Linked DNA regions of Coturnix japonica. The protein of the gene in region 2 binds, or shares a complex with, the protein of the main gene of each other region. Links are inferred from orthologs where the notes say so. Each region holds a gene or a part of one and is shown on either strand. Other genes may lie near its edges.

Region 1 (3,551 bases), on a different chromosome or scaffold from region 2:
TCACAGTCACAGCTGAGAAAGCCAGCTGCTAAATGACATGCAGTTTTTTCTTCCTTTTAGTACACAACTACAGTTCAGCCTTGTCTGCAGGCAGCTTAATCTGTTCTGCTTGTGCAAAAAGGGTTGTTGGAGCTGAAGAATATTGATGAGATGTTTTTCTAAGGCATGGCTGGAAGGTGCGCTGCCAGCAGGGGAGTTCAGCAGGGCTCCCCCCACTGCATGCTCTGCTGCTGGGGCACATTCCTGCCTGGGAGCAGCCCATGTTGCAGAGCTGTCCTGCTGTGTGTTACCCTGCTGGTGTGTTTTAAAGATAAACTGCCAATGAAACAACTTTTTCTGTACCATGGCAGATTAATGCACTCGTGTCCAATGAAGTGGGAAGATCTGGAGAGAGTGAAATGCTGGAGCAGATTGTGTTTCTTCAAATTGATTCTTTCAAGGCACCAATTTATCTGTTTCAGTAATACTGCACATTATACACTCAGTCCATGGTAATGAAGCAGTTGATGACCATTTTACTGAAGGTGATTTGGGGGGGGAGTTACTAACTTTTATGCCAAGCAATCTTCGGAAATAAATGGGATGTTACAGGGCATAGCCATGCAGAAAAAGACTTGGGGTACAGCTGCTGGATGTGGCACTCGAGGTCAGGCTGGATGGGGCTCTGAGCACCTGCTCTAGTGTAGGTGCCCCTGTTCATTGCAGAGAGTTGAACTGGATCTCCTTTAAGGGTCCCTCCCAGTTCAAACTACTCTATGAGTTATGTCAGCTAAAAGCTGCCACTGATATTTGAAGCTTAAATAATGTCAAATTGACACTCACTAAACCCCAGTGTATTGTTATGGCATTACCTGCACTGCTGGGGAAACAGGCTTGACAGGTAAAAAGAGAAGTCAGAGAAGAGGTGAGGCTGCGAGAATCCAGCATGAGATACATCTCAGATACTTTTCTTCCTTGTGGAAGGGTGTTCTCCTGAATAAAATACATGACTATTTTTCACTGCTTATCAGTTTCCAGCCCATGCAGATGCAGGTTGGGTTCATTCAGATTCAGTAACTGTGGGCATAATTAGAATTTCCCTTGGGCTGAACGTGACCTTTGGTGTCCAGGTAGGAAGCCCTTCTCTGGCATACAGAAGAGTTTCCCTCACTGTGTACCCTCAGTGTAATGTCGTTGTCTAATATGCTTAAGCATGACTGCTCTCTTACTTGTATTTGCTCAGCTTTCTGTCAGGTCTGTACTTTGAAAGGCCTGTTTTCAGTGTCATTTCAATATTTAGCTAAGAGTATCTGGTGTTGCCTTTTAGAGCAATGTGTCTGCTGCCTATCCTGTTCTCCCCATCAGTTTTTGGCTAATTGGCAGCCCCAGTAAGAAGTATGAGCTATTGCTTTACTCACCTGGCTTTTATTTTGCTTTTGAGAGGTTGAAAGCAGTTATAAAGACCAGTTCTATTGATGGCTTCTGTTTTTTTTCCTCTATTGCTCTTGAAATCCAATCTGTCTTACCCATCACGTTAACAGAGCAAAGGTAACAGCCAAAATGAATACCTTCCTGTCTTCTCTTTTAGATAAAATTGAAGATGAATTAGAAATGACTACGGTGTGCCACAGACCCGAAGGCTTGGAGCAGCTTGAAGCACAAACCAATTTCACTAAAAGAGAGCTTCAAGTGCTTTACAGAGGATTTAAAAATGTAAGAACAGCACTGCAGTGAACTGAATCCAGTATGTATGTCTCCACCAGCCCCAACTGCTCAGCTGCGTTTTGTATCGTTCCCCTGTTACGTACCAGCATTTCTGCACCATATCTCCTCTGCCACAGCAAAATGAGCTCACGATCTACCTTTCCATCTCATATTGATGTCCCCATCATCTGCTTAAAATGAGGATTGGATGAGCACATCATGCTCATTACATTTACTCCCTAAATGTCACTAAGCGTGCTGCAAATTCCTCAGCTGTGCCTGTACTTTATGATAATCTGCAAATGTTTTCATGTTTATTTAATTTTTTGCTTGCTCAATTCTTGCTGCTGGTTGACTTGTATTGTTTGCTTGGGATCCCTGGGATTTTTGGTTTGGTGTTTGTTTTTTTTCCCCCTTTCCCTATCTTGGATAATTCTTGCTATTCAAGTGGGATATTACTGGAGCAAGTTAGGACTACAGAGTCCAGGGTAAGTAGAGAACAAGGCAAGAGCCCAACAGACCTCAGAAGGTAATGGGTATCAGGGAGAGGGTGTAGGAAACCACAGGTTTAGATGAAATAAGGTAGTGTGCCAGCTAGCAACACTGCATGCACGGAGCAGCAATGTGCTGGTCTTCATGAACCTCAGCCTGAGCCAATTCCCCCTGGTAGGATTGGTCTCCACAGGGCAGTGAGCCTCACCATGTAGGTGTGCTGCTGCTGCCTAACAGGGACTCATACTAAATAGAAACGGGATTTTGAGGTTATGTGGAACAGATGTGTTATGGGTCTGGAAGGTTGAAGAGTCATTACACGACTGCCTGAGGGTCTGAGTTTTGTCATACGGGTGTTTTGTGTCAGGTAATGCTTTGATGATGATTAATGAATTGTTATTGAGCCAGCTTAATAAAAGACATGTGGTTTTTAAGTTGCTCTGTTGGACTGCTGCAGTATTTCAGCTACTGTCATAGCAAAACACTGTAACTTCTTAAACGGTCCAGTCCATTGGCTGAAAGAAAATTGAGCCACCTCAAGTGCAAGTCTTGTTGAGGGAAAACTGTTGGATGCTGCAAAGGTCCTTCCTTATTTTTGCATTCTTTAAATTTGGTTGCATCCTCTCTCTTGCACATATCTGACTTCTCCAGCACAGCACAACTGCCTGGATCTTGGCTTATTGTGTGTGTTGTGCTTGTGCAGCTTTTGCTGGATGTAGGGAGTCATTTCACGTGAGGACCTCAGTCTGACCACTGAAGATGAACCTTCTGAAACCTCTTTTGTGCTCCGGCTGGTCAATAACAAAGCATACAGCTTTTAAGACAGGACTCAATAGGTTAATATATAGTATAATATGATATAACCCCCTACAATGGGGAGCAGAACTAAGTGCATTCTTAAACATTGTGTTCTCCTATCTTGCTGACATACCTTTCTTGCTGTGTATGGGAACCCAGTGCAGGACACCGTGCTGAGAAGGAGAGGCTGTGTCAGCACCCCTAATGCAAACCAGAGGCACCTGAGCCTTGCAGCTCTTAACAGACCTGGGGTTTATCCAATCCCCCAACTTCAGTTCTGCAATTATTTTGCAGTACAGAGGCAATACATTTGAGGGAAAGAATAATGATGAAAGTGCACTTAGCTTGTGAGTTCAGCCCTTCAGTAAGACCCCACTGATGGTCTTGGTGTTAATTGACAGTGCTGGCACGATCCTGGCTTTGTCAAGTCATTAGGAAAGCAGCGTGTTTTCTTCCAGCTGCTGTGGGTGCAATGTGCATGAAGCTTTAATATTTAAAGTTTAAATTGAAAGGGCAGCTATAGCTTTTCTATCCTATAAATCATGGTTTCAATGGAATGAGTAATTATGCACAGTAGG
Region 2 (3,551 bases):
CGTTATTGATTTGTGGTATTGCGAGGGGTTTGAGTGCAGTGAAGGCAGGTGAATGCAGAAGGATCCTGCTTGGAATAATTTAGCTTACACAAGTGATGTCTGAAAAATAAAGGCCCGACTATAAATCACTTTACTATCAATATTTGCTCCATCAAACACCAAAATATCCCAAAGAAACCCCAAACACCATCTGATAGCAAAGAGAAACCACTTGTTGCCCCTCGAAGGGCTCAGCCTTTACTTCTAGCATCATTTTCCTGTCTCCTACAAAACTTCACCAGTGCTTGCAATGGGGTTTCCTGTGCTGACCTCCTGAGCCACTGTGGGAATTCATGCACTCCGGTGGTTTGCACGTGGCCATTTTGGTGCCAAATCTATTTTTTTATCTTACAATAAAATACCACCTAAATGGCTCGCTGAAACAAGGCCTGTGAACTCAGTCAGTGCCTGTGAGAATCACATTCGTGCCTTACTCTAGGAGCATCAGCTACAAAGGAACCTTTTGCTACACGATCAGAACACACCTCCACTTTCTGAATGGGTTTCCATTTGCAGATGATAACTTTGAAGCCAATTGGAGAGGACAAACTACAGAGGAGAATGAGCCTCCAATGGAGGCTTCCATTGCACTGGCGGTGTTTGGGGTAGCAACATCTGCACTGCCAACCTCTGGTGCCCACCTGGTTATCAGGAGCTGGGCTGCGAGGTGTGGAACCTCAGCAATGTGCAATGGACAAAGCACATTGGTTTTCTCTACTTAGAGCCAATGTTAAAGCTTAAGTATAAAACTCCTGCAGAAAACTTTCGTAACTTGCAAAATAAAAGCCACAAACTGCAGAAAGACCCCCAAAAAAAGCACTTAGCAGAGCAGTGCTTATGTGTTACGTGCAATCTAAAGAACCTGGGTCAACAGCATGAGGGATTTGTTGCTTGTCTAAGCATTGCTATCAGGATGCTCACCTTGCTGCTCAGAGAACCTGGAAAGGCTCTCTGGAAAGCCATTACATGGGTCTGAAGGGAGAACCTCCCATATGTGTGTGTTTCCCCCTAGCTACGGTGACATGGTGCCCAAGACCATTGCTGGGAAGATCTTCGGCTCCATCTGCTCGCTGAGTGGGGTGCTGGTCATCGCCCTGCCCGTTCCTGTCATTGTCTCCAACTTCAGTCGCATCTACCACCAGAACCAACGTGCCGACAAGCGCCGGGCACAGAAGGTAAGCAGCCGCACCAGGACACTCAGCTGCATCACACACACAACCATGGATCACCTTGCAAAGCAGCTCCAACATCATCCTGGCCAGGCAGGATGCTGAAGCTGCATCCCAGTTCACTTTTTCCTTTACTCATTGGACCATGTTCCAATTGATGGCAAAGAAACGTATCACCGAGGCTGATGCCGATATGATTGATGGCAGCTTTTATAAGGTCCGCAGTGTATTATTTCCCCCATTTGAATTTCTAATTCCCCTGATATCAGATTAATTTCTGGGCTGAGAAAGTTTTCTCAAGTCAGAAGTGTGACTAATTTTCACATGAACTCCCCTGCATGAATACTAAAGAGAGCCAACAAACCAGCAGCACGTGGCTGGCCGGCTCTCCAGGGATGGTCAGGACGTACACAGGCGAGAGCAGAATCTGCTTTGGTAACACAGCCTTGTTCCAGCACCAACCTGCAGTGATTAAATTTCTTCTTTGGGAATAGAAGTTTAGTAATAGTTAGAACTCTGTCCCCATCTAATTAGAGTCACAAAGACATTTATGTGGCTTTTTCAGGACGGCTGGATACAGCTCATTGCGCTTTCTCAGTCCTTGAATACATCCCCCAGCTTGTTATAAGCAGAGTTGAGGACACACAGCTTTGAAGAAGTAGCACAGACATCTTTTCTCACTTCCTAGTGTGCTAAATAAATCCTTTTTCTCCTTTAATTGAGGATTAGATTGTAAAATTATTATAAACTGAACTTCTTCCAAAGCACTGATTCCAAGAATCGTAGCTGGGACAAGCGACTCTGAAGGCTGCCCAGGCTATGGATCATTCTGCTGTTGGCATGAACTCAAATGAAGTTGTCCAGTGAGAAATAATTGAGACAAAAGCCTTGAAAGAGCATCCAGCTGAGGAGGGGGCACAGTGCTGAGAGCTGAAGGTTGAGGTGTGAATAAGGGGATGGGGGGTGGCTGTTACAACAGCCAAGGAGAAAGGTGCCATGAAAAGAAAGGGGGAAGAACAGAGAGCAAAACAAAGCCACCACCACCACCAGTGATTTAGTCAGCTCAGAGGTAAATTATTCCTTGCCAAACCTGCACTGCAAGAAAATTAATTACGGGGAGATCTGGCAATCTTAATTTATTGCGCTGTGTCATCAAGGTTTGTTCTCTGGCAGGCAGCAAGGACCAGGTCACTCTGAATGGGAGACAAATTGATCATGTCTGACAAGGTTCACTTTGGTAAAATTGTGTTGGTTTTTTTTCTCTCCCCCCAAAGACTTTTTTTTTTCTCCCCTTTTTTTTTAATGACATGCTAAGAATAGACCTTCCTGACATTGAAGTGATGCTGTTCTTCACTGAATGTCAAAGCCTCTGGTTTTAAAGGAGAATTTGATGCTTAACGGGCTTGACAATTGAATGACTTTGTAACTCAGGTAGTGATGGTGCCTCCCTTGCTGTGCTCAGCTTGAGCAAACTCAACCTCCCTTGGGGTAAGAGCAAAATCAAACCAGGCCACCACAAGAGTGTGGACTGTACTGCAGAAGCCTTGAGAAAGCCTTATTTCATCCCCTAAGCAATACCTTCCCAGAGAAGAACTGAAACCCCCAGTTTAGGCAAGAAAAGGGCAACCTGGGCAAAACTGAGGGCAGAGCAGCCCTCAAAAACAACTGCAACACAGGACTGAAAGCTGAAACTTTGGCTGTCAAAAAGCAGACGTACAAATGAGGTGAGGCAGAGGAGTGGACTCATTGCCTGGTTGGTGAATTAAAGCGTTCCATCATACAGCCAATAGCAGCAAAGAAAGGGATGCAGGACAAGGGAAAAGCCGTATCTTTTCAGATAGAAGTTGACAAGAGGAAATAGATGGAGGTAGATTACTCTGGAGCACAGAGATCCTTGTGAGATGGTTGTGCACACACAGCCACGACTGCAGGAGGATGCAAAGGTAACTATGGAGATGCTGAGAGGGGCTTCAGCCACAAGGAAGGATGCAGATAGCTCATAGAGGCACATTGGAAACAGCCTGTTCTGGAGCCACCGCCACTCCCAGAGGCACAAGAAACAGCCACTGAGCTGCCAAGAGGGAAAACGGTGACGAAGAGAATGCTCAGTCCCAGATTTATGCCATCATCTCACCCATGAGAAAGACAGCCCACACACCCGTCAATAACAGGGCCATTATAATAATTGATTTTCTACAGAGCATGGGAGTCAGCTTTGAAATGTTCTGTTTCTTCAGCTGACACCCTAAATTTTGGAGGTGGGTTAGTGAGCTTCATTCAGAGCATAGAACAGAACGGCCAGAAACAGCGAGCAGAGCAGAGCTGGGAGCTCAGCGACAAAGC
Region 3 (4,271 bases), on a different chromosome or scaffold from region 2:
TATTCATTGGTGCCTGCAGAAATCCGACGGAGCAAACCAGCTCCGTGCCCAGCCATCCCGTGCCGCTATTCCCAGGTCCCCGACCTGCAGCACACCCCCTCCCCCACCCCGCCATCGCAGCCCCATCGCTTGGCCCTACAGAGCCACAAACAAGCCAGGACAGCAAAGGGCCGAGGCGAGGAGCAGACAGGAGGAGGGAGGCAGCAGACAGACGAGGCGGTCAGGCAACACTCCCATCCATCGCCCCGTGAAGGTGCAGCATCCGCCGAGGGTGGGTGCGTTGACACAGTGGGGCCCCCGGAGACCCCCCGCCCCAGTGGGAGCATTTCCACACCATTCCCCACCCCAAGGAGGGATTTCCCATGGGGGATTTGGGACAGCCCGGCTTCCAGCCCCGCCTCGCCACCGGGCAGGACAAGTGGAGCATAAGGAGTAGCAGCAGAGGTGGGAGAAGCTGAGGGTGGGCAGCAGGCTGGGACCTCTGGGCAGGGGCACTGGGGAGGGGGCTGTGAGACCCAGCGTGTCTGTGTGCTGGCATGTGGCAGGCAGGGAGCTGTACACAGCTGTGCTGTCGCTGTCCCCATCCCTGTGACGCACCCCAGAGCACAGCACGCAGCATCCTGCTCCGTCCTACAGCTGCGTGGCCCTATGCACTCACTGCTATTGGGGATCTCATCTTGTGGGGGGCTGCAAAAAGAGTTGTGGGGTCCCCATCTCGCCGCCGGGGGAGGCAGAAGGACCCCAAAGCTGTGCTGATGGTCTCTATAGCAGTTGTTCACCCCCTGCTAACACTGCGGCTGCCTTTGGGGCGGAGCAATGCCACGGGAGGGAGAAAGCAGGGGGAAAACAGCCACCCTAAAAGCAAATCCTCACCCCTAAGGGCAAATCCCACACCCCTAAAAGCAGCAGCTGAAGGGTCTGACCCACTGCAGGCAGCCTTATGTTGGTCCTATGCCAGTAACTGCTGGTCCCATTGGTGATGTGGGGCCAATGTCCCTGCTCCCCCTGAAACCCCCTGTGCTGTGGGGCCCCGTACCTCCATTCCTAAGGTCAGAGCTGCACTCGGGTCCTGCTTCTCCCATGCTGAGGGCCATGGCTCTGGACATGGGCTGCACTTACACTAATCGCCCATGTCATTAGTGGGCCAGAGGAATCATGTAATTTATGGACAGCTTTTATTTCTCTCTAGCGTCATCTCCCTGTCCCCAAAATGGACCCTTTTAATTTCCTGGTAGCGTTTCTCCCCTCTGCCCAGTGCTGCCCATGTCACACCAGCAGCCACGTGCAGCCCCCTCCTCTCTCAGGGGCTCACAGCCCTCCTGAGCTCACAGATCAGGTCCTCACCTCCCTGTTCCTCTTTTTGGCATAGGAGGGGTGATGGAGACCAACTAAGGGACGATCACTGGGGATGTGCCACCGCCTGATATCAGACAACCTCAGGTCACATCTCACATTGTGGATGTCCCCAGGCCGTGCTGCAGCAGGATGCTTATCCCCAGCTGAGCTACTGAATTGGGGGTGAGAGTCCCCTCGATGGGTCAGTGGACAGGAAGGCCAATCTGCCAGCAGGCTTTGCTACAACCCTGCGTTCCTGGGGGAGCTGGCAGGCAGTGGCCTTGCTGGGATATGGGCTGGCTGCTGCAGGGGCTCCCAGTGACCCCATCCCTGGGTTTGTGCTTGGAGGCAAAGCCTGGCCCTGAAAGGTCTCAGCCTTGGAGAGCCTGGGGTCTATTTTTAACCTCGCTTCGATTTAAATCCATATGGACGTGTTAAAGTTACCGGAGAAACCGAAAGTTGTGTGTGGGTTCCAAGTTCCTACACAGCTCAAAAATATCTCCCCGCAGCGTGGTGGTGCAGGCAGCCGGCAGGGCGTCCCTGTGTAGGGCTGCTTATGGGGTGGGGGGGTCCTGTCCTGCCCACCCCCTCAGAACTCCCTGTGGAACAGGTCTGTAGGAGCATCATGGGGCCTGGGGCTGCCCGTGTCCCACTGCATTGAATCCAGAGAGTCTCAGCTCCATCGCAGCCCCGGTAAGTGGGAGCCCCACTGCCCAGCTGCTGACATTCTAAGAAGGGATAGGATCTGGCCAGATCCACAGGGAGCACGTGAGGAAGGAGGGGGGCATGAGGTGCAATGGGGAGAAAATGGGGTGGGATTGGGAAGACGGGCAGTTCCCGGCTGGGGGGTGAGGATGGAGTGGGATGGCACAGGGTTGCGGATGGGGTACGTGTGGCTTCTCTGCACTACGGCCATCCCAACGCTGGGGTAGGGCTGCTGCGCCCCGGGGAGCACCCAGGGGAGGAGCTCCGGGTGCCGCTGGGGGACCCGGCTCCCGGGGGACCCCGCTGCAGGGGCTCTGTCGCGAAACCCCGCTGTCCCAAGCGGAGATGCGGGAGGCAGGTTTAAAGGTGTCCGACAGAGACTGAAGCACCCGAACGCCCGTGGGGAAGATGAGGGTTTTTTCCCCACGGGGCTGCCAACCTCCGCGGGGAGCGATGCCCCCCTGGGCTGGGGCTGCCACTCTGCTCCGGGGCTCCGCTGGCGAAGCGTGGCGGCGGGGGACGGGGCTCGGCTGGGGCTGGAAGCGGACCGGGGCCGGGGCCGGGGTGGGGGGGAGCGGCGATCCCGAGCGGCTGCTGCACCTTCCGCGGGGGCGGCACTCACCCGTCAGCTGGTCGTAGGAGCCGTCCAGGTCCCGGGAGTCGGACAGGCTCTCCTTCCTGCCTTTGCTCCGCATCTTCTCCGAGGCGGCGGCGGGGGGGGGGAACCGCGACGGGGCGCACGGGCTCCGCCGCCGGGCAGGGGGTGCCCGCGGCCGCCGCCTCCCCCCACCCCGCGCGGCTGCGGGAAGGGGGCAGCGGTGCCGGAGCTCGGCTCGGCTCTGCTCTCAGGAGCGCGCCGCCGCCGCTACCGCCGCCGCCGCCGCCGGGGCTGGGCACGGCCGCCCCCTCCCTCCCGTCCTTCCCCGCCTCCTCTCCCCGGAGCCGCCGGCCCGGCCCCGCCGCCGCGGGGAAACTGAGGCACGGGGAGGGAGGGCTGCGGGAGGAGCCGCTGCGCTGAGGGTATTCGGGAGACCCCGGGGTCGGGGACTGCGCGGGGACGGGGCAGTCGGGGGAGCGCAGTGCCCTGCACGCCGCTGTGGGCACCCCCAGCCCCTTCCTTGGGACCCCCAGTAGGGAAGGTGGAGCCCTGGGGGACTCACTGTCTGGTGGAGAAGCTGGACTGCAACTGGGCAGTGGGGCGTGCGCGGCCAACCAAATGCGAAGGCGCAGCGAGGGCGGCCCGAGCCCACCAGGACCCCCGCCGTCCCCATCCCCGGCACGATCTGTCCCAGGATCCGCCCCACACCGCAGCCCCACAGACGGAGCAAAACAGCAGCACGGGGACGGGCGGCCCCCAGGGGCACAGGGAGGGCGGCCCACGGCCCCACGGCCACACTCGGCTCCGCTGCTGCCCCCGGTTATCGGCCGCCCTCCGTGTCCGAAGCCGTTCGGGGCGCGCTGAGAGCTGCGAAGACCCCACGACACAGCGATGTCCTGCGCCACGAGCGCGGCCTGGCTGCGTCTGCCAGCGTGTGCCACCCTGCGTGTCCCGTTCCCTGCAGGGAGATGGAGGGCGCAGCATCCCGCCCCGATCCCCGCACCCATCGCGGCCCGTGGGGACCGCGGGGCAGAAAGGGAGCGCGGAGCAGCTCGGAGGGAGGGCCGCGCTCACGCGGCAGCGTGTTGTCAGCGTGCTTTGGTGTCAAGCCACGAAAGCGGCCGCCTTAGCGAGGCAGCGATGCTTAGCAACTGCCTGCATCTAAAAATAAGAGCCATTTAGCGAAGAAAACGCGGCGGAGAAATGCTCGGAGAGCTGCTGGGGAAACACGCTCCCTCCTTGCGGCCGCGGAGCCGGAGAGGAACCCCCGGGACGCCTCCACCCGCCCCAGCTGCGGGTCCCGCAGCGCTGCGCTCGGCCGCTGCGTCGCATCCCCACCCTGAGCCCGGCAGGGGCTGGGGACCGGCTGCACCCCGGGGGGTGCCACGAATGGAGCATCGCCAGCTGCTCCCCATGGGCTCCAGCAGCCCGGGGGCGGCACTGCGGGCACGGCCGGCCCAGCGGCTCTGAGTGGGGAAGAGGTTCAACTTCTGCCATCCCTGGCCCTTTGGGAGGTGAATGTGGCTATTTTTATCCCTGCTCAGAGCTCCTGCAGCACAGTGAGAGATGCTGTGCCAGGATGAGAAAGGTGGGGGGCTTGTTGGGGGACACGGGCTGACGTGGGGCAGCCCCA

What was found.
Region 1: the proteins of KCND3 (region 2) and KCNIP1 are in contact, whole or in part, in a crystal structure (PDB 2NZ0), measured with the Homo sapiens proteins. The link is inferred for Coturnix japonica from reciprocal best matches to the Homo sapiens genes KCND3 and KCNIP1. Residues at the interface, in NP_001365898.1 of Homo sapiens: Ala6, Ala7, Trp8, Leu9, Pro10, Phe11, Ala12, Arg13, Ala14, Ala15, Ala16, Ile17, Gly18, Trp19, Pro21, Val22, Pro26, Met27, Pro28, Leu29, Ala30, Pro31, Lys34, Lys36, Arg37, Asp39, Trp54; in NP_001030009.1 of Homo sapiens: Leu67, Arg69, Gly70, Phe71, Glu74, Val80, Phe85, Ile88, Tyr89, Phe92, Phe93, Tyr101, Leu105, Phe109, Phe122, Ala125, Leu126, Leu129, Leu130, Leu138, Trp140, Thr141, Leu144, Tyr145, Ile161, Val162, Ile165, Tyr166, Met168, Met169.
Region 3: the proteins of KCND3 (region 2) and KCNIP2 are in contact, whole or in part, in a cryo-EM structure (PDB 7W6S), measured with the Homo sapiens proteins. The link is inferred for Coturnix japonica from reciprocal best matches to the Homo sapiens genes KCND3 and KCNIP2. Residues at the interface, in NP_001365898.1 of Homo sapiens: Val5, Ala7, Trp8, Leu9, Phe11, Ala12, Arg13, Ala14, Ala15, Ala16, Ile17, Gly18, Trp19, Met20, Pro21, Val22, Ala23, Asn24, Cys25, Pro26, Met27, Pro28, Leu29, Ala30, Pro31, Asp33, Trp54, Arg60; in NP_775283.1 of Homo sapiens: Arg112, Gly113, Phe114, Asn116, Glu117, Cys118, Val123, Phe128, Ile131, Tyr132, Gln134, Phe135, Phe136, Tyr144, Leu148, Phe152, Phe165, Leu169, Ile172, Leu173, Arg180, Trp183, Ala184, Leu187, Tyr188, Met201, Met205, Ile208, Met211, His228.

The regions. Positions count from the first base shown.
Region 1 is NC_029528.1:13,391,677-13,395,227, forward strand, and holds part of KCNIP1 (Kv channel-interacting protein 1), read left to right. Parts: intron 1-1,567; coding exon 1,568-1,692; intron 1,693-3,551. UniProt on the Homo sapiens protein: Regulatory subunit of Kv4/D (Shal)-type voltage-gated rapidly inactivating A-type potassium channels. Regulates channel density, inactivation kinetics and rate of recovery from inactivation in a calcium-dependent and isoform-specific manner.
Region 2 is NC_029541.1:3,442,166-3,445,716, reverse strand, and holds part of KCND3 (potassium voltage-gated channel subfamily D member 3), read left to right. Parts: intron 1-1,051; coding exon 1,052-1,214; intron 1,215-3,551. UniProt on the Homo sapiens protein: Pore-forming (alpha) subunit of voltage-gated A-type potassium channels that mediates transmembrane potassium transport in excitable membranes, in brain and heart. In cardiomyocytes, may generate the transient outward potassium current I(To).
Region 3 is NC_029521.1:19,802,883-19,807,153, reverse strand, and holds the start of KCNIP2 (Kv channel-interacting protein 2), read right to left. Parts: upstream 2,823-4,271; 5' UTR 2,736-2,822; coding exon 2,663-2,735; intron 1-2,662. UniProt on the Homo sapiens protein: Regulatory subunit of Kv4/D (Shal)-type voltage-gated rapidly inactivating A-type potassium channels. Modulates channel density, inactivation kinetics and rate of recovery from inactivation in a calcium-dependent and isoform-specific manner.